Notamacropus eugenii: one gene and its partners. The protein of the gene in region 3 interacts with the protein of the main gene of each other region in a pairwise test. Links are inferred from orthologs where the notes say so. Each region holds a gene or a part of one and is shown on either strand. Other genes may lie near its edges.

Region 1 (7,012 bases), about 330 Mb from region 3:
TATGTATTGTTATATGTCTTGTGATACAACCAACTTTGTTTCTGAGTCCATTTTTTATGCTTATTCCCTGTCTGTTTTTTCTTAGGGTGTTTTCACTTTTTTTTCCAATTCATAACATATATCATGTTAGAGTTTTCCTGTTTGCTCATTTCTTTGACTGATCCTTTTCCTTTTCTGAAAAGTTGGCTTTTTCCTCTCTTTTTTGGGAGCTCCATTTTACTTTTCAGGGGCATTTCTTCATCTCTTCTTTTAGAGGTTATTGAGGCAATAAACTCCTTTATGATTCCTGACTGACTTTTTGTTGGAAGTGTTCCAAGTTGCAGATTTCCAACTTAAATTTGTAGCGAGTCAGAGTTTATCTTTTTAATATATTATAAATACATGCCAAGTAGCTAGTCATATTCAATCTAAAAGATAGTTGAGCAAAAAGGAAATTTGAATAATAGCCTTCAAAGGATTACAAAGCTAATTGAAAGGAGTCTTACAAATACAAGTCAAGGGAATGGTAACTAGGAACCAGAGTGTAAAAGATGAATTCAGGATTAGACTAGATAGAATCAGATGGAATTTAACAGGAACAAATAATTAAATCTTACACTAGTTCAAAAAGTCATCTTGATGTGTTACAAGATGGAGGGAGGTATAGAGAGAGAACAGTTCTTCATTTCAAAAAACATCTAGGGGTTTTAGAAAACTTTGGACTCAGTAATATCTCAACAGTGTGATATGCCAACCAAGAAAGGCAATTATATTTTTTAAGTGGCATTAGAGTACAGTAATTAAGAATTGATAGACTCACTGTATTCTGCTTTGGGAGGATCATTTGTATTGTGTTCTGTTCTGGCTGCCCCATTTTGAGGATTGATCAAAGGACCATCGATGATTAACTTGAGGTTAACGGGATAAAACCATTGTTTGAGATTTTGATTATGTGCTGAAAGACTGCAGCTCTCGGATAGGTTTGAACATGCCTAAAGAGTTATTAAGTCTCTCTATACTTCATGTCTTCATGGATTGAATAGATGTGAAGAACTTTGTTAGCATCTCCCTATGGAAGACCTGGGTATATGCAATGATACCTTATTGAGATAACTGAGGACATTTAGTTAATAGATATTGAGAGTAATCCACTTATACCTCATTGAGCATCAGTGATTGAGTTTCAGCGTTAGGAGTAATTTGATTGGCTCAGGCTACTGCAGATTAGAGTCTATTAAATCTAAATTTCCTAAAATTTTATTAAGGGATTTAACTTTTTTCTTTTTTAAAAATAGGTCTGAAAGTTGAGATCTTCCAGTCTTTTACTATTTATATCTCCCTGTAACTTACTTAGCCTTTCATTTAAATATATAGATGAAATGTTATTCAGTACATATATATTAAGTATTGAAATGAATTGTCTATGGTAACTTTAAGCATATATAGTTTCCCTGTTTATTTTTAGTCAAATCAATTTTTATGTTGTCCTGTCAGAGATTGCTTCAAATGAAGCATGAAATTTTGTTCCATTCCCTTATATTAACTCCTTATGAATCTTTATGATTCCAGTGTATCTCTTGAAAACAACATATTATTAGATTCTACTTTCTAATTCATTTTGATATCCTCTTCTGTTTTATGGATGAGTTCATTACATTCACATTCAAAGTTATGATAGTTGTATATTTCCTTCCATTCTATCATTTTATAATTTTTTCATTCTTTTCTTTCTGCCACCTTTTACAAAGAAGCGAGCAGTGAGGGAGAACGATTGTGCATAGACCAGTACTCTATGCTTTTGTGCTCCTGTCTCTTTTTCTCAGTCTGCTTGACCAGATCTCAATCATATCTCTTCTTTCTTTCCATTTAAACTCTTCTTGATATCTCTTCTTGAGGTTAGAGTTTGTTTTGCTTATAAATAATTCTTTCCAACAACTACTCTCTCACTCTCATTATCCTCACCCCACTCCTCCTCATTCCTTGTTTCCCTGTTGTGTTGAATGTATTTCTACACCAAACTCTTCCCTGGTGTATTACTTTTTCTGTTCCTTTACTTATTTTTCTTTTAAGATCATTAAAACACAACACCACTCCCGTATTTCCTTCATAGTTCTCACTTCTTTTCCAATACTTTCCTCTCACACACTTACTTTATAAGATCATTTTAAAACTCTAAAAAAAAACAAAAACAAAAAACCCCAACCTTTGTTTCATTTCTTCCAGCAATTCCAGTTGCCTTTGTGGCCAAACTATGTTTTTCTATGAGACCTTGCCTGTAGGCATTTTGGAGTAATTTTCCTCTTCCTGCTTTAGTTTGCTGTTCCTGGCATGATGCATCTTTTTTAGTGAGAGTCTTTTTTTTCTTTACTCATTCTTCTAACCTTACTTCCCAGATTGGAACTTTGTATTAAAACCAGTCTCTCCATAGTTTTGGAGGGAATGCTGGAACCGTGTTTGGCCATTTTTTTTTTGTTGTTCTCTGGGGTCCTACTACTTCTATCCTTAGATAATGAATGTATTCTTTAAGGCTCCCAGGGGGACATACAAATTTTCAGTGTGCTCTAAGTTATCTCATCTAGTGTAAAGTCTGGTCAGTACCCATCTGGTCTGAGCTTTACAAGTTCCTGATCATGGTTTGAGTCGGGGCAGCAAAATCATAGGTTTGCCTCTGGTTGGACCTCTAGTATACTGCTGCTACACCTAGGCTCCATCAGCTAGTTGCGTAACTGCAGATTCAAAGAGACAGCACTTCAGTGTCCTCTTTAGTCTGAACTCCCTGCCTTTTGATACTCAGCTTAAAGCCTTAGGCACCTGCTTCAGCTACTTTCAAGGCTATTGGAACAAATTGTTCTTGTCCATCCATTCCAGTGGGGGAAGACTTCACATGCTTGGAATAGACAAGCCCCTAACTCACTGACAGATTTGAGGCCTGTCAGTTACCCTCAACCTGGTTTAGCCTGTCTGCTGAGATGGTTTACTGGTTTACTGGAGTGTGGCTACACATGCTACAACTTCTTGGAGCCACAGGTGAGAACTGAGTGCCAGGTAGACACCAAAGGTGGATGAGCTGCCCTTGAAAAGGTCCACAAATTCCTTACACCAGGGGTGCTAATCCTCCTTGAAAACCTCATACACCCATGGGATGGGGAGCAGGTATGAATAAAAGATAAGTTTCAGCTGAAGACAAAATCTAAAAGCAGAGAGGCATTCCATAAATTATTGCCAGAAATCTACACATGCAGGGCGATTATCAGTGATCTACAGAGACTTCATGCTCTGCAAGGTCAGTAAGAGGTAGGCCTGTCAGAACAGTGATGAAATCAGCATTATATAAATTCTTACTATTAATGTTATTATTTTTATTGTTATTAACAGTGACCTTTCATTAATGTATAAGTTGTGAGTTGCCCTTCCATTCCAGAGCACCAGGCATGGCCCTATGTGTGACTCTCCACATGTGGTACCTTTGTTGTGTTCACTCTTTACATTAGTAGTGTCTATATCTAAAGAAGAGTAGATCCCAGATTTATAGGGAAATGTATTGCTTTTCTTACTTTACTGTTTCATAAAATACCTTTGATTTGAATTAAATGTGTCTTCTTGTTGACTAGTAAAGGTGAGACTATCAGGAAGAGCATTTTGTGAACTCCCATTTGGAGTGGCTTTGAAATCACCAAGTATCTTGAAATTGGTGTAACCTTGTCTGGTGGAATCCATTCTGAGAGTAGGGTTTGGTGGTGGTGCCCCCAGGCGTTACAGATAAAATCAACTCAGTGCAGTTTACTGTGGCCAGGTAGGTAAAGGTGTATGCAGATTCTGTTTTTAAAAAACAAACAACAGCTACAAAAAACTACCAAGGGACTTTAGGCTGCCCTCAGATGACACATTTGTAACAAGCCTGAATGTGAGAGCACAGGTTGCTGGGAAGGGGCGGGTCCCTCAAGTTCCAGGAAGGAGGGCTCAGTTAATAAGACCAAATGAGTTGGTTTCAGTTTCATACTAGCTGGAAAACTTTGTCCCTGCCGGTGTGACCACAGCAGAGAAGCCCAGATTCACCCACCTCTTGTCCCTACCTAAGAATTTTAAAGACCTTCTCTCATTCTATCCTAGGACGGTAAGCACGTTTTGTGATTTTAAGTGAACCCTGTTAAAATATTTGTCTAATTAATTCCTGCCAGTTACTAGGAACACAACCCCCATGCGGCGGCTGCTACTGCTGCCAAACACTTCTGGTCCTAATTCTGGGCTTCTGAAGCTGTGACAGATCTGTATTCTGTAGTGAATGATAGAAAAGGGGGCTTGGGGAGGAATGGAGTTTCCCCTAGAGCCCTTTTCACTGGATATCTATTTAAGCAGCCTAAAAAAAATACACCCATACTAATCTTAATCCCTCGTTCAATCATTGCACAGCCTACTTTATTTAGTACGTTCATTCATTTTCCTACCCTTTTAAAATTCAGTCCAATACTTTGAGTATATGGGGGGAGGGGAGGAGGCGATTAGGGGTAACCTCTATTTCCTACTATAGTTTGGAAACTGCCTTTTTTTTTGAAGACACTGATTCTCGCCTTGTAAACACCCTCCCCCCCCTCCAATATTTCCTCAATATTCCTTCCTTCTGTTTACAACTTGCTGGGGCCTGTCATGAATAGCAGCAGACTGAGAGCTTTAAAAGGGGAAAGCTTTAACCTACACTTAAAAAATTTTAGGAAATGAGCTAGCTGCTTTTTTGCATATTGAAGCCATAATACTTGTCCCTGGTCAGCAATTGATTAATGAGTGAGTCTAACAGCACTGCAGGGACTCTGGTTCTTAATGTCGTTTGGGAAATCCAAGGGAATGGCAATAAGTCTCAAGGAAAACATTTTCATCACATGATCATGATTAATCCTTAGGGCTTGTGTCCGTGCCTTACCTGACTTCATGAATGAGTTAAAACACAGAGAACAAGTTCATCCCTCCTCCCCAACCTCACATAGACTTTCTGCCTACACCCAGAAATAAAGGCAGGGGAAAACCCTGCAAACTTGCTTTACACACACACACACACACACACACACACACGCACGCACACACATGCACACACGCACACACGAAATTCTAAATGGGTAAGTGATGAAAGCAAGAAGTATTTCAGTCTGGGGTGAAGAGGAAGATGGGAGTTCTTTGAAGACTTTCAGTTTCAAATAGGTAGGACACCTGCAGAAAAGTGTGCTTGGGGGTGGGGGTAGGGCAGGAAAAGAGAGATTGGCAGATGACATTACACTGCCTGAGAATTCGCCAGTCCTGCAGATTTCAGTATGTGATACCGAACAGGTATAAAGTCAAATATTCAGACTTTTCCAGGAGGCAAACTTTACTGTATGCACAGATTAGTAATGAATCCCTACATCCAGTAGGGATGCTTTGCTTATGCATTCATTTGTGAAAAATGGTCCCCACAGCAATACAGAACTTCATGCCAGTGTAGTTCTTTCTTTCATGTGTTCCTCCCACAATGCCAGCACACTGTTTGGTGACTGCAGATGTCTTGAGTTCAGGCCTCACAGTTACCATTTGTACATTATTTCAGGGACAAGTCAAAGATGCAGAATAGTTACAGATCAGCAGTGAGTGACGGGGTGTTCTCATTGGGAAATGAGATAGTCCTAACTCCCTCTCCCCTAGACTTGAGAGTAAGACCACCATGTTTAATATTATTTACATGAAAAAAAAAAGTTTTCAGAGTTCCAGACAGTTGATTAATAAATCAACCTTTGTTCTGGAACACAACTTTATAAATTGATTATTCATGTACCTAAGTACCTTGCAGGCAAAACTTACAAGAAGTTCTGCAGGTATAACTTGAAGACAGATGCTATCTCACAACTTTAAGAGAACATGGAACCTTTCTGAAGTAAAAAATCTGTCTGGCCTCAATGGTAGAACCTGGAAATAATAAACCAGTCTGCCCTCTTGACATCTAGGCACCCTGGGACAAGTGTTTAGTTGTTTTTTCCTGTCTGTGAGCCCAGTGAGAGTTTTCTTGGCAGAGATACTGGACTGCTTTGCCATTCCCTTCTCTAGCTCATTTTACAGATGAGGAAACTGAGTTAAGCAGGTTTAAGTGACTTGCCTAAAAGTTCCATAGTTAGTAAGTATTTGAATCTGGATTTCAACTCAGGTCTTCTGGCACTAGTGCTCTATTTACTTCACCACCAACTTATGCCTTCTAACTACTTTTCTTCACCCCTAAGACCTTCCCTACTGTGCCACTTTTCCCTGGGTAGGACAGGTAGGGGAGGTACTGTGACAGAAATTAGTGTATATACAGGTAACTTGCCTTGAGTGCAAGGAATTTAGTGGATCTTGGGCTAGAAGGCACTCATCTTGTAGGTGAGTAGAAGCAGGCTTGAGAGTGAGACCATCATATTTAATATTGTCTACATGAGAAAAACACTTTTCAGAGTTCCAAACAGTTGACTTGTCAATCAATTCTTTGCATTCATTGCCGTTAGCAGATAATAAAAAAATTAATGCTACTTATGCCATTCAAGGAAAAGAGATACTTTATGCTCTGCTTTCTTTTTTATCTTAATTACTTTACTACACATTTCTTACTATCCTGCTGGCAATAAAAATTTTGAACCACAGACTTATTGTTCGGTTCCATATAGGCTACCATCTCTTCAACTTCATAGTGTCATACTCTTTAAAAAAAAAAAAAAACTTGTTAAAAAAAGATTTAAATTAAGTTCATTGGATTAGGGATCCCAGAGACCATATCATTTTACAAATAACTTGCCTAAGGTCACACAGATAGGATTTGAACCCAGGTCTTCTTAATTAGGAATGAGTGTTTTCTTCATTATACTTATGCTGCTGCCTAAAAAGCAACAAAACGAAACAAAACACAATTTTTAACAGAAGCATTGAAAGTTAACATGAGTATCATTTCATGTTCAATGATCCCAGAGTTCCTAGTCCATTGAATTGATGATATAGGTCATTCAGATATGTTGTATGACCTTGGGCAAAACAGATACTTCATCCC
Region 2 (7,133 bases), on a different chromosome or scaffold from region 3:
AACAAGTCTGGCCCCTCAAGACTCTGAGTGTGTCCTCTGTCCCAGGCCTTGATTCCTCTAAGAGAGTTGGGCCTCCCTCCTGAGGCCTGTGGGGCCCTTCTGCCCCAACCCCCCCCACTGTGTTCTGCTTGCATTCTGTTCTGCTTGTCGGTCAGGTCAGTATTGGAAAGAAGTGCCAATGTCTGACCAGCTTAACCCAATAAAGAGAGGACTCCTCCAGAGGGGGAACCAGGGACAGACAAACAGGACACACATGTGTGTGTCTGTGTGTTGTTCTATATCAAATCACGATTAGCTTCTGCTCACAGCCTAGAATCTACAGACTGGGCCCCTAAACAGTCATTCTGGCTCAAGCTCAAAAGAAATTGAGGGTAACTCCTCCCTGTCTCTGCTCCAGGTCCCTCCTCTCTCCTGCACCCCCCACAGTCCTACCAGATGTCCCCCCCAGCCCTCACAGACCTGTCACAGGGCATCCCCACCACCTCCTCAGGAACACACAGAACACTGGGCTGATGTCACACCTGGCCTTGCCCATTCTTACCTGTGTTTCATTCGTTGCTGCGTAATCTGCGATAGCCACAAGCTCTTCGGGCTCTGAGTTCTCTGCGTCATTCTGTTCTTTGGTTTCTCTCACTTTCTGCACAAAATCAAGGAAATAAGATGGGGGCTGGGATAGAATGCCTGGGCAAATAGTTCATCCCCTTGTGTATCTCAATAAAGGCCACAGTCAACCGATGGTCACTGTTGCCCCATCTTGCCACGAGCATCCAGGTGGTGTTTAAGTGACAGGCGCCAGGCACTCAGGGACCCATCCTGCCTCAGCACAGCTCATGAACAAGTACTGGCAGCAGGTGGCACCATTTCCAGACATGCCTCTTCATTTGTCTTGTGGGGCAGACTGATTGCTTCCCCTGCAAAGCCTTCAGGCTGAGGGGGGCTCCTGCAGGGGCCTCAGATGACAGCAGGCTGGACTAAGGCACTAGGTTTGCTGAGAACAGGCTTCCATTGGCCTCAAGGAAGCCCAAGGCCTCTGTTTCACCTCCACTGGTGAATGGGTTGTCTGCTCCAGCATAACTTCGGTAGGATGCAATGGATGTGGACAGTCCACTTGCTGTAACCCTGTAAGCTGACCAAACGGTCTGATCCACTCTGAGCTAAGAGGCTGCCAGAGGGCCTATCTTCAGGGACTTGATCAACTTTAATCCATCTTCTTACCCAGGGACTGACTTCTGAAGGAGGCTCCCACTCCTACCATCCCTCACAATGTGACGTGGTCACCAATGTGGGTGGGCACAGATGCGTCCCAGCTCTCAGGTTTCCTCCCCCTCTGCGACCTTGCCTTCTCTCCTACCTCCTTCCTGTCCAGCCCAGTTCAAGGGCCTCTGGGAGGCAGCCTTGCCTTGCCTACTGCCTCAGTCTTCCAAATACCAACAGCCTGCCTGCCCAGCTAGCCATGAGATTGGGGGAGAGGCCTCTCAAGATGCACTGTCCTGGACTTGTTTCTTGGCTGAAGTTGATCTGACTACATCCTTATTCTCGTCCCAAATGAGCCGCCCCAGAAATGCAGGCCATGATGCCATCTAAATGCCAGCACAGTGTTGCAGCCAAATGCTGGACTGGGAGTCAGGAAACTCAAATCCTTCCTCCTGACACTGGTCACGTGGCCTTAGGAAAATGCTTAACCATTCTCAGTTTCCTCATCTGTGAAATGGGGATAATAATGGTGTGTCACTGAGTCCTTGTACGTAAGACTCTTTGTAAATTTCAAAGCACCACAGAATTGTTAGCTCTGAATCAGATGGGGTCCTACTATGTTTAGTTTTTGCAAATGGAATCCCTTATCCCAGGAGGCAAGGAAGCTTTCTCCCAGGAGGAAACAACTTGGAAAGCATTTTTGGTAAAGCAAAACAAACAAAAATTCCCCCTCCTCAACTGATCATTTTGGGGGCCTGGGGGTAAATCTGGGCTTTCCTGTAACCTTTAAGCTTCAAGGAGGGTACTCATGCACATCTTCCACAAGTGATATGTAAACACAAAGAGCTCCCACTGTGTAGGTCTGTCTGACTCTGTGCCTGCCTCTGCCTACAGACTTCTAAGACACTGGCAGTCTTCAGTGTGGCCTCCCCCAGCCCCTCTATGGCCAATGCCCACTTCCTCACGGAGTCTGCCTGCAAAGCCTTTCCAGCATAGCAGGCCCTGACAGAGCTGGTGCCCCATGGGCACCAGCTTGGGGCCTTTCCAGCCTATGTGGAGGGTCAAGCTCCCACATTACCTGCGCCTCCCCAGGGGCAGCGCCATGGGGCCAAGGGCCATCTTGCCTTTCCAGCCTATGTGGAGAGTCATCAATGCGACCACTGTGGGCTAAGTCTCAGAGCTCACCAGGGTGGCCTCCCTGCTCACCCTGCCCCAGACACCCAAGCTCCCACATTACCTGCACCTCCCCGTGGGCAGTGCCATGGGGAGGGGCCATGGGGTCGGGCTCTTGCTCCTCTGGCTTCATCTTCCCTTGGTTTCTATTGTCACAAGAGAGAACGCACCGATGGTTAACTATCCTTCTGTCCCAAGCCCGACCCCCAATGAATCCCCCCCTCCCACAACGCAGAGCGAGGAAAAAGCCCATCTGCACGAGCTCCTCCCCGAGGAGGGCACATCTGCTGCTGCGCCCACCAGTCACTGCTGGGGCATCCTTCTGGCACAGCTGCCAGGTACCCAGGGTCACCTGAATCAGGGCCTGGGGCGGGGCATCGGGGGAGGGACGGGGCCCGCCCTTGCACATTTGACAAATGAGAAAACTGAGGCAGCTCCAGCGGCCTCGCCCCAGCTTCTTCTGCCCTCTCTCCAGACCCACTCCCATCACAGGTGGGGAAACTGAGGTAGCTCAGGCGTGGCCCCGCGCAGTCCCCTCCCCATCTTACCGAGGAGTTTTTGAAAAGGAAGCAACTGCCTGACCGGCCTCGGCGGGTGCCGGCCTGAGCGTCAGGGGCAATTGCGCAAGCGCGACCGGGTCAGGGGCGGGGCCTCGGAGAGACTCCACCCACTCCCTCACCCCACCCTCCCTATTCCCCCAGCGCCTAGGAGTTACCCACATGACTCAAAGTCTTAGGGCGCGTGCGCATATCCTTCCATCGCTTCCGGGTCTCTGGGGTGGCTGGGAGTAGCTCCTCCTCCTGGGAGATCTGTGCGTGCGTGTGAGGGGCGGCTCTTCCTCTTGCCTCTTTCCGGGGAGGTGGAGGCTGCGTCTGTTTCCTCTCTAACTCGGGATGGGCGTGCCGGGCTACTTGCTGCAGGCAGCGGCCCGGGGGGAGGGGTGCCCTTAGCATGACAGGCAGGGAAACCGAGGCAGTCCAAAGCCCCCTTCTACCTCCCCGCCCAAGGTAGACCTTGGCAGGGCTGCCAGGCTCCGTGCCTCAGTTTCCTCAGGTGTAAAAGGAGACCCTGGGTGGGGACAGCCTGCGGGCCAAGGATCGAAGAGGGACCCCAAAGCTGCGGATCGGGCCTCTGTATGTACACACATTTATATACACACCCAGAGACAGACCCCCAAGGCAGCTCAGTGCCTGGCGCTCGGGCACCCAGAGGCCCGCCCCCTGTACCCTCAGTAAGTCCCCTGTAAAATCGGAGCGCTACTGTAGCAATCTCGGTAACATGTAAAGTATCTTCCAGCCTAGATCTGCGTGTGCGAACACTGCATTCATGCGGTTACACGAGCGCTACTGTAGCAATCTTGGTAACGTGTAAAGTACCTTCCTACCTAGATCTGCGTGTGTGGGTGTGCGAACACTGCATTCATGCGGTTATACGAGCGCTACTGTAGCAATCTTGGTAACATGTAAAGTACCTTCCAGCCTAGATCTGCGTGTGTGCGTGTGCGAACACTGCATTCATGCGGTTACACGAGCGCTACTGTAGCAGTCTTGGTAACATGTAAAGTACCTTCCAGCCTAGATCTGCGTGTGCGCGTGTGCGAACACTGCATTCATGTGGTTATACGAGCCGGGAAGAAACCAGACTCCTTCCGTAGCTAGGAGGTGAACCCGCAAGGTAATTTAATATACCACACCACATAATGCACATTTACATTTCTTCATCAAGAGCTTAGAATAGCGATATTGATTGCTTTTGCCCCCCAAAACACAAACTAAAATTTGCATTATGTAACGGTAATCACAAAAAAGTTTATTCTACCTACAGTTATGAAAACAATACAAAATTATAAAACTTAACTAAAATAGTTATGGATTTTTTTGTGGGACATTCTGTAAGAATGAAAAGAAATAATCTAAGATCTCATATGCTCACTATTATCTGTAAGACTTCATATTAAATTATTTTGTTTGGCAAATTTTGTCAAATAAAACATTTAAATGAAATAATTTATAAGTGGGAAGATGTTAGCATAATATCATAATCACGTATAAACTATTTTGATGTTGCATTTTTTTATTGGAGTAGATGTTTGCGACATTTTGCTTAATACCAGACAAATAGTCTTAAATCTGGTACTGCATCAAGTTTTTTTCTCTATTTTGATATAAAGTGAAAAAATGCTTGTTCACACAAATATGTGGTAGAAAATTCTAGAAGAATTACACAAGCTCTTTGAACATTGTAAATGCATTTTTTAAAATTTCTAACTGCTTAAGTAATGATAATGATAACATGATAAAAAATGAATGGCCAGTCATGATACTTTTCTATTGGTTAATGACAAGTTCTGTATTAAATGATTTACTAAGTCTGACTCTTCATGATCCCATTTGGGGTTTTCTTGGCAGAGATGCTAGAGCCACTTTCCATTTCCTTCTCCAGCTCATTTTACAGATGAAGAAACTGAGACAAACCAGGTGAAGTGACTTGCCTAAGGTCATTAGGCTAGTAAGTGTCTGAGGCTGGATTTGAACTCAGAGGAGAAGCCTTCCTGACTTCAGGCCTGGTGCTTGATCTGCTGTAGTTCCACCTAGTGGCTCCATACACATCCTTAAGGCATGATCTGAGTGCAAGTTCTTTCTTTGCTTCTCCAGCTTTTAAATACTCTTCACAAATTGACAGAGGTAGGGTTCTAGTCAGGATTCCTGTTCAGTGGTTCTCGGAATCATTGGCTTTGTCTTCATTTGTGGTGATAATCCAAGGAGTTTGCATTAGGGAGTCTTTCATAGTGCTTTAAGCAATGAGCTGCCCACTTAGGTTACAAGTAGGTCTTTCCTCTACTACCTGCCCATAGGTTTGTTTCTGAAGTGATTTAACACAGCCATAATCAGGCACATCATGAATTGGACATTCTAGCACTTTCTGCTGAAGCACAATGTTCTTGCAATTTTTCAAGTATCATCAAATTTTTTCCAAACTGCCACAAGGATTCCATATTCAAAGGCAAACTGCTCCTCAGTGAGAGGATACATGTGCATTCTGCACAGTGCCCCAGAGTAGCTTCCTCTGTTCCCTTCCAGTCATGTGGCCAAGATGGTACAAATAGCTGCTTGCTTTCAGCACAAAAGTGAGGCTGTGTGGATTCCATGGTCACTGGGCATGAGCATTATAAACTATCCTGAAACATCCCAAATGTTCTGCAGAAACAAACCTTCTGTTTCTTCTCATTGCAATATTAAGGCTGTTTTCAGATTTATACATGTCCTCCACCTTGCTTACTGTTTCTCTGTCTGGTGGATTTTCAAATGAGCTGATTGTTGACCCTGAGTCACCAAAAAGATCCTTTCTTTTCAAAGGTCAGATAAACATTGTTTAGAACTAGGTAATAGATGCAATTGAACCTTAAGGACAATTCTCATTTAATACCAGGTGGCACCATAGTGCGTAGAGAGCTGGACCTGGAGTCAGGCAGACTCATCTGCCGGAGTTCTAATCTGGTGACCCTGGGCAAGTCCCTTAACTCTGTTTGCCTCAGTTTCTTCATCTGTAAAATGAGTAGGAGAAGGATATGACAGACCCTTCCAGTATCTCTGCCAACCCTGTTTTGCTCTGAGCAACCTTAGTAGGATGCTGAGGAGGGACAGTATTGTGTTCTTTCAGTGACAGGCAGTTCCCTTAAGGCAAACAGCTGCCAACTTCAGCAGACCTGCGAATGGCAGCCTTCTCACATTAAATCATAGCTTACAAATGCAAAACCTCACCATCCTTCTGTTCCTCAACAATAGGTCCCTGCCCAAGCACCACTTAATGGTTCTTTTTGGGCCCTCCTGGCTCAGAGGGAATGTCAGTAGTAACTGTTTTTCTTTTGTCCAGCAACCCGGACAGTCTTCCCCTCCCAGTTCCCCATCCCTTCTTCTTAAAGGGATGATCCCTTGACTCACTTCTTAAAAAGGCCTGTTCATTGAATGGGTGTGGCCTCACTCAAAATGAGAACCTGAAAAGGCCTTAGCCTAAAAGGGTCAGGGTCTCCCACTGCATCCTGGGCCATCTCCCCTCATCCTGATGGATAAATATCAGGTTACTGGACCCAGATGCCTCTGGAGGAGATAGTGAGGCTGGTGACCTTGCACAGCCCTCCCTCCCTCAAATCAAAGTCAACTGTGAATCATATCATTATCACCCTGAAATCATGGTCCTCTCTCGGAACGAAGGAGAAACCCCACACACCCTCAGAACAGACACAGCCAATAGAGGACAACACAAGCCTGGCACCTTTGCCCTCTCTCAGCAGTAGATGGCAGCAGAGAGCAACAAGCCCAGACAGCTCCCTTAGGCAGCAGGATTTGGCTCCTGGCTTTCAGCCTCCCGGCCTTTCTCCAGCTAGTCAGCAAAGCCAAGTCTCTTTCCCAATAAGCAAGTTCCAGAAAAGCAGCTGAAAGTGGGCTGTCTCTGCCATAAATGTTCTGTAGCTTCTGTCCCTGGCTTCTTGTGATTCTCCTGCCCTCTCGTTTCTTTTATAGCTCCTTCTCCAGCATCTTGTGTCCTTCTGGCTCACACCAGACTTGTAGTCGTCAGTGACTCAGGCTTTACCTAAAGGAGTCAAATTCAAGACCACTTTCCTGTACTGTATGGACCTAGCAGTCCCCATGCAGTCTTCTCCTAGTCCCCAAAGAAGTGTTTAATTTAGTGTTTGTCATTACAGCCTTTAAAATTCAAAAGGCAGCCTCATCAAATAGAAGGTGGCACATGGTGCTCTGCGGGAACCA
Region 3 (7,148 bases):
TTTTTGGAAATATCTGGGAATATCATCTCCCTTGTTCTGGACATTCAACATTGCCTAAGATTGAACTAGCTCATTTGATTTGCCTTATCAAGTTGTTGACTTATATTGAGCTTGTGTGCCACTAAGACACCTCCCAGCTCCTTACCCCCAGGTCCTATATCACAGGAAGCTGCTATCCAGCCACATCTCTCTCATCCTGGTACTTGTGAAATTGATTTTTTGAACCCAAGTACAAAACTTTACATTTGTCCCTATAGAAATTCATCTTATTTGATTTGGCCCATGATTCTAGTTCCTTTACATCAATGTAAAATGTCCCATGTCCTGTGTCTAAGGCTATGCCCCTAAGCAGATGTTTGTAATATATTATGTGTGTGTCTTTACTAGTGAATCCAGCTGCTTGCTATGTGTTGCTGTCACTCATTGGTTTGGTGTACTGGGACTAAGCTGTGATTTTATCATGAGTCCAGTTGAATCCATATCATGTTCCTGAGTTTTGATTCTATGGGTACATGGCATTTCTGTTGCATGGCCACTTTGCCAACGTGGCATCTTCATTGATGAATCTTTTTGCGGACACAACTGTAGGTTCAAGTGCCCCCAATTTGTGTGATATGGGAGGGTCAGGATTAGGATTTAGAGAAACAGATTTGTGTGATGGAACTGCAGGATTCAAATCCTACTTCTGTCCCTTTTGACCTGTGTGACCTTGGACAAAAACATCACTTAAAGTCTCTGAGCCTTAGTTTCCTCATCTCTCAAACAAGGGGAATGGCTTTTCAAAGGTAGCTCTACAAACAACCCATTGCTATGTCCTTCCAGTGCTGATCTCAGACAGGACAGTTGTTTTATTGCTTCCCTCCGTGGGTCCACTCTGTACCATGGTTGTAGTGCCATATGTTGTACTGCGGTGCAGTGTGGTGTTGTGTGGCACAGTTATGGTGTTGCGTCATGGTTATGGTTCTAAAGGCCATAGTTGTATTATGTGAAATAGTTGTGCGTGGATGTGCTATGGTGGTAACATGTGCCAGGGTTGTGGCATCATGTGACAGTAAGATTGCTCTATCATACAGCACAGCTGTAGTTTTCTGAAGCATGATGGTAGACTTGCATGACATAGTTGTGGCTGAGTGTGGCTTTGTTGTGGTGCTGTGTGGCACAGTTGTTATGTATCATGACTGTGCAGTTGTATGGTGTTATATGAAATATTCATGGTGATGTATAAGACATCTCAGGACAGTGGATAGAGCGCTGGGCCTGCGGTCAGGAAGACTCATCTTCTGAGTTCAAATCTAGCCTTAGACTCTTTCTAGCTGTGTGACCCTAGGCAAGTCACTTCACCCTGTTTGCCTCAGTTTCCTGATCTGTAAAATATGCTGGAGAAGGAAATGGAAAACTCTCCAGAATCTTGGTCAAGAAAAACCCAAATGGAGTCACAGAGTCAGTCACAATTGAAACAAATGGGATATCTGCCCTCTTGAGTGTAGTGGTAACATCTATTAGGGTTGTGGTTTTAAGTGACGGTGAGATCATTGTGTTATGCAGAATGGTTGTAGTTTTATGAGACATGATTGTGTGACTTTGTTGTGGTGTTGGGTGGCACTGTTGACGTGTATCATGGTTGTGGTGTTACATGGTATTACATGGTGTTGTTGTGTTGTGTGTCACGCTACCGTGGTAAAGTTGAGGTATATGAGATGGTTGTTGTATTTTGTCACACTTCTGATTTTGGATGGCTAGGTTTTGAGGTATGGGACAAGGCTGTTTATATCACAAAGTTGCAGGGCTGTTATCTGTCATGTTATGCTATGGGGATGCTTGTGGTATTGAGCATTTTGGTGTTGTGTACCATCTGTGGTAGCGTGTGGCAAAGTTATTTGGGGGCAGAGTTGTGGTGCTATTGCATGACATGGCGTTGTGTGTCACAGTTGGGTTGTATGCCATGTTTGTGATGTTCCATGTTATGTTGTATATCACAGTTGTGTTAACATTATGTATCATGGTGGAATTATGTCACAGTTATGTTGTCATACATCATTGCTGTGTATTACATGGCATTATAGTTGTGTTGTGTGTTGTGGTTGTAATGCTGTTGTACATCATGACGTTATGCGTCACAGTGGTGATGGTATGTTACAGTGGTGTTGAGTGGTGTGGTTGCAATGCTGTTGCATTGGTGGTGCTGTAGATCACAGGTGTGATATTATTGTGTCATGGTGGTGGTGTTGTCACAGTTGTAATGAATACCGTGATGTTGTGCGTCATGGTTGTGATACTTTTATATGTCATTGTGGTGCTGTTGTGTGGTCATGGTGGTACTTTTGTCACAGTAATGACGTTGCTGTGTATCACGGTGGTGACTGTGTGTATCACGGTTACAATCATGGTGGTGGTATGTCAAGATTATGATGCTGATGCATTCACAATTATGCTGTATGTGATGGTTGTGATCTTGTGTGTCACAGGTGGGGTGTCACAGTTGCAATGCTGTTGTATGTCATGGTGGTGGTATTGTATGTCACAGTTGTGATGTTATTGTGTGTCATGATGTTGTTCTATGTCATGGTTGTGATGATGTTGCATTAACAATTGTGTGTCACAGTTGTCATGGTGTTAGGTTCACAGTTGTGTTATGTGTCACGGTTATGAGGCTACTCTATGTCAAAGCAGTGGTGTTTCATTTCATGGTTGCATGGTTGTGATGCTACTGTGTGTCACAGTGGCAGTGTTGTATGTTGTTGCATTAACAGTTGTGTGTCCTGGCTGTGATGGTGCTGGGTTCCCAGTTGGGTTGTCTTGTGTGTCCCGGTTGTGATGATGCTGCGTTCCCAGTTGTGTTGTGTTGTGTGTCCCAGCTGTGATGGTGCTGGGTTCCCAGTTGTGTTGTGTTGTGTTGTGTGTCACGGGGGCGTGGCCTACCGCACAGAAGCTCACTGAAGCTCCCAGGGCCTGGGCCACTTCCCGGGGGTCTCAGCACGGGGGCGCCCCCCGCCCACCCCTCCAGCCCACTGACGTCACTTCCTCCCGGAAGACTCTATGGTGGCAAGGTCGCGTCATCGCTACGTCAGGCTTCGCCACCATAGAGACGTCGTCGAGGGGAGTGGAGCTGGCTCGGAAACCGCAATCGGGCGCGGATCTCGGCCGCTGTGGGGAGGCGGGGAAAGGCGGCCGGCGGAGCGAACCACTGAGGGGGAGCTTCGTGTGCACCTGCCCCGCCGTCCCGGCCTTCGCCTCCCCGCCCAGGCCTCCCCGCGGCTCCTCGTCGGCACCCTCGCTCGTCCATGGACGCCAACGATTATTTCTCAGGTAAAGCCCGCAGTTTTCGCCACTGTCTGCGCCGCGGCCCAGGATTCCTCCCCCCGCCACCGGCCCGCGCCCGTCATCTGGGATTTAACCAATCCGATCCGCGCTCATTAGCATGCCCCGGCAGTCGAACGCCTCGAATAAATCGGTCGAGCCGATTGGTCCATAGATTAGTGAGGGAGGGTTGGGGTGTGGGGAATTTTTTGGTTTTAATTGTTGCCGACGGTGGTGGTCTTTTTTTTTTTCCCTCGGCTATGCTAGGAAGGTGCAGGCCTCTTAATCAATCAACCTCCTTCCGGGTCCTCAGTGGCTGAAAAGCGCTGTAGGGGGCGGGGCTCCAGGCTCCCCCTCGTCCATTGGCCGGAATGACTTCCCCGGCTTAGCCATTCCCTCCGAGGGGCGGGCGAGTCAGCCAATTGAGACGCGCGTCACTGAAGCCAAGTTGAAAGTTCGAGGGGCAGCTTTGTGGGCGGGGGAGCCGGTAGGCGTTTCGCGAGGCAGGCGCGGATTGGTCGGTAGTGCGACTCCCCGTTCTTATTGACTGCAGGCGGGCGGGCTTAGGCCTATCGGAGTTCGGCCTAACGCCCTTTCCCCTTCCACGCCCTAAGGGGAAAGGGGCCTGAAGGGGGGCGGTGTCGGAAATAGAGGGCGGTATCGAGCGATGTCTGAGGCTCCGATTGGCCGCCGTCTCTCCTCTGCGCGCCGGCTGCCCGGGTCGCGGGCCAATCAGGACGCGCGCCGCGGCGCGCGGGGCGGTGGGGGGGAGGTGGTGGCGGCCATTTTGAGCCGCTACCGCCGTCGCTAGTGCCGTCGTTGCCGCCACAGCCGTCGAAGGCCGTTCCTGGGGCCGAGACCGAGGTCGGGGCTGGGGTCGGGGCTGGGGCCGGGCCAGGCGGAGCGGAGAAGGAGCAGAGAGCGGAGCGGAGCCGAGGCGTCGGGCCATGGACGTGAAGCGGCTGAAGGTGAACGAGCTGCGGGAGGAGCTGCAGCGGCGCGGGCTCGACACGCGCGGCCTCAAGGCGGACCTGGCCGAGCGGCTGCAGGCGGCGCTGGACGAGGCAGCCGCCGCCGAGGCTGAGGCCGAGGCCGCCGCCGCGCCAGAGCCGGAGGCCGAGCCGGAACCGGAGCCAGAGGCCCAGCCCGAGCCGCCCGCGCCAGCCCCCGAGCCGCCGCCGGGACTCCCGTCGGGGCCGCCGCAGGACGGCCAGGAAACCCCCAGGGCCTCGCCTGAGCTCGCGCGCCCCGACGAATCCTGCGAGCCCCTGCCAGCTGCGGAAGAAAGGCCCGGCCCGGAGCCCGCGGGCCCGGAAGGCAAGGAGGGAGCGGGAGGGTGGGGGGCCCGGGCCCGGTGGCCGGAAGCCCGGCCCGGGGCTTCTCGGAGACGTGGGAGCTGTAGCCACGGGCCCGGGCGTTGGCGGCGCTGACCCCGCTCCCCGGCGTGTGTCTGGGGAAGGTGGCGCAGGTGGTGGGCGGTACGGAGTGGATCTGTTTAGGGGTGGGGACAGAAGGTCGGCCAGGCTGGAGAAGTCAGGGCTTCCTGCTTCCGCTGTGGTGACTAGTCCTGGAGCCCGGCCCGCGGCCGCGTGCGTGGAGCGGGGCTCGCCCAAGGTGTCGCGGAGATGCTTGTCTTAATCTTGGCCGTGGATAATTTGGGGGGCCGGGTCGGATGGCGGCAGAACCAGTTTATAGGTTCCGTGGCCTCTGGAACCTCTGCCCCTAACCCGCCCGCCCCCCTTCTGATCGTAGATGTCACTGGCAGCGCTGCGGAACAGAATCAGTTTTATGAGACCACAAATGTTCATCAGGAGAAGAAAACTGGTTATGAGAGTAAGCCTCCCGAGCTGGAGCTGGAGCAGCCGCTGACCTATCCAGGTGAGGGGCTGGGCAGTCTGAGGACCTGCGTGTGGCGTTTACCGGGGTTTGGTCGTTGGGTGGCTACTGCAGACTGCCAGCGGGGCAAGGTACCGCCGTATGGTTTGGCATCTGGGTGCCACGTTTTAGGAACGACTTTGACAGACTGAAGTGTCCAAAAGAGGGAGGTGACCATGCTGTTTGCAGACCAGTTCAAGGACTGTCTGGAGAAGAAATCTAGGGCAGCTTCAGCTTGCCATCTTTTAGTGTTTTAGAGACCTTCAAGTTAGACTTGTTCTGCTTAGACTGAACTAGTTGCTGTGGGTAGAAATTCACAGAGAGACAGGTTTCAGCTTGGTATCCAGTAAAATTTCTTCACATTCAAAGCAATCCCAAAACAGTGAACCGCCGTTTCCCACCACCAGAACACATCATCTCAGCGCCACTTCTCTAGGCAGCTCCGCAGGGCTGAGAAGGAGGGAATAGAACGGTTTCAGCACAATCTGACCAGTGGCCAGGCACCGAGTGAGGGGTGACTGTGAAGGATATTTTTAAAAACCTCCCTGGCTTCGGATCTGTTGTTTGAGAATCAACAGACTACAAGTGACTTACAGACACAAATCTTTCTATGTTCCCCTCTATACAAGTAGGAGGCACTTGGTAACAAGATCTCAGTTGGACAGAACCTGTCCCTCAAAGACAGGCAGTGTGCCATTTGGGCCCAAGTTGCCATGTCCAGTAGGGGTCAAAAAAGACTAAAATGACTTGTGCCCTGAAGTACTTAGATCAGGCCACGAGTATCTAAGAGGCATTGTTGTACTGGGCATTGGGGAAGGGCAAAACCGTCCCTACACACAAGGACTCTGGGTTCTAAGGAGGGAAACAACAAGGACCTAGAGCAACACATACGTTACAGATACAAAGAGAACAAACACAAATACATACCAGGTAGTTTGAGAGGGAGGAACCTCAAGATTCTGCAGATGAAGACCATGGTAATTGAACTGTGTCTTAAAGGAGGTCTTGAGGGGGCACTATTGAGAACAGAGCACCAGGCCTGGAGTCAGGAAGACCTGAGTTCAAATCTGGCCTCAGTCATTCACTAGCTATGTGACCCTGAGCAAGTCACTTAACTCAGTTTGCCTTAATCCATTGGAAAAGGAAATGGAAACCACACCAGAATCTTTGCCAAGAAAAGAGTCAGAAGCAAGTGAACTACACAGCAGTCTTAAAGGAAGGGCAGCACTGTGATTGGATTAGTGTGGGCATCCCAGAAGTCCTCTCTAAAGAACTTCGTCATGCTGGGTACCTTCTCTTGTGGAGTCTAATATGTTGATGAATCAGGGATTATTGGAGCTGACAGGTCCCTTAGAGATCATCAAGGCCAACTTCTTCCTCTTGCAGGAGAGAAAAGTCAAGCAGTTTGCTCCCAGCCCCAAAGGTAAGAAGGAACAGAGAAGGGCTAGCAGCCCCGCTATGAGGTCTCTCAGTGGTTCACTGATTATCTTGGGGATATCTGTGCAACAGTCCAGGGATCATATGCTTTCTCTTGCTTGAGGTGACTGATCAAGGCCTCCTTTCCCAGTCATGTGTGTCCTTGAAAGTATCTAGCGCCACTTAGCATACCCAGGTCCTCTGTGGTAGTAAACATACTATAGTCTGATCGTACTCTTGCTCTTTGGGCCCCCAGCAGTTTTGATCCTTCTAAGATGACTCTGTTGTGTAATCCCCAGCCCTGGGGTATCAGCAAGAGAATTGATGTTAAGTAGATGATGAACTTTGGTGACTGAGCAGTTTGGAATCCTTCAAAAAGCTCCACATGGCCTAAACGTTGAACCACCTTCCTGTCTTATCTTCAGTTCTGGACTGGGCTTATCGTCCATGTGCAGCACCTTTCTACTTTGTGATTTGTTTTGATCCAAGATGGGGCTGCTGAAAAAATCTTCTAGTCCAGAAGTATCAGATTCAAAGCCCACGACACTCCTGAGTGTGAC

Evidence for each region.
Region 1: the proteins of HNRNPUL1 (region 3) and DZIP3 interact in binary tests that used the Homo sapiens proteins (3 or more experiments, as listed by UniProt). The link is inferred for Notamacropus eugenii from reciprocal best matches to the Homo sapiens genes HNRNPUL1 and DZIP3.
Region 2: the proteins of HNRNPUL1 (region 3) and PRMT2 interact in a two-hybrid assay, tested with the Homo sapiens proteins (2 studies listed by BioGRID and IntAct). The link is inferred for Notamacropus eugenii from reciprocal best matches to the Homo sapiens genes HNRNPUL1 and PRMT2.

The regions. Positions count from the first base shown.
Region 1 is NC_092876.1:360,263,206-360,270,217, reverse strand, and holds the start of DZIP3 (E3 ubiquitin-protein ligase DZIP3), read left to right. Parts: upstream 1-3,954; 5' UTR 3,955-4,093; intron 4,094-7,012. UniProt on the Homo sapiens protein: E3 Ubiquitin ligase proteins mediate ubiquitination and subsequent proteasomal degradation of target proteins.
Region 2 is NC_092873.1:68,197,259-68,204,391, reverse strand, and holds the start of PRMT2 (protein arginine N-methyltransferase 2), read right to left. Parts: upstream 3,027-7,133; 5' UTR 2,916-3,026; intron 2,514-2,915; 5' UTR 2,501-2,513; coding exon 2,432-2,500; intron 638-2,431; coding exon 542-637; intron 1-541. UniProt on the Homo sapiens protein: Arginine methyltransferase that methylates the guanidino nitrogens of arginyl residues in proteins such as STAT3, FBL, histone H4. Acts as a coactivator (with NCOA2) of the androgen receptor (AR)-mediated transactivation.
Region 3 is NC_092876.1:29,911,960-29,919,107, reverse strand, and holds the start of HNRNPUL1 (heterogeneous nuclear ribonucleoprotein U-like protein 1), read left to right. Parts: upstream 1-4,109; 5' UTR 4,110-4,244; coding exon 4,245-4,614; intron 4,615-5,049; coding exon 5,050-5,175; intron 5,176-7,148.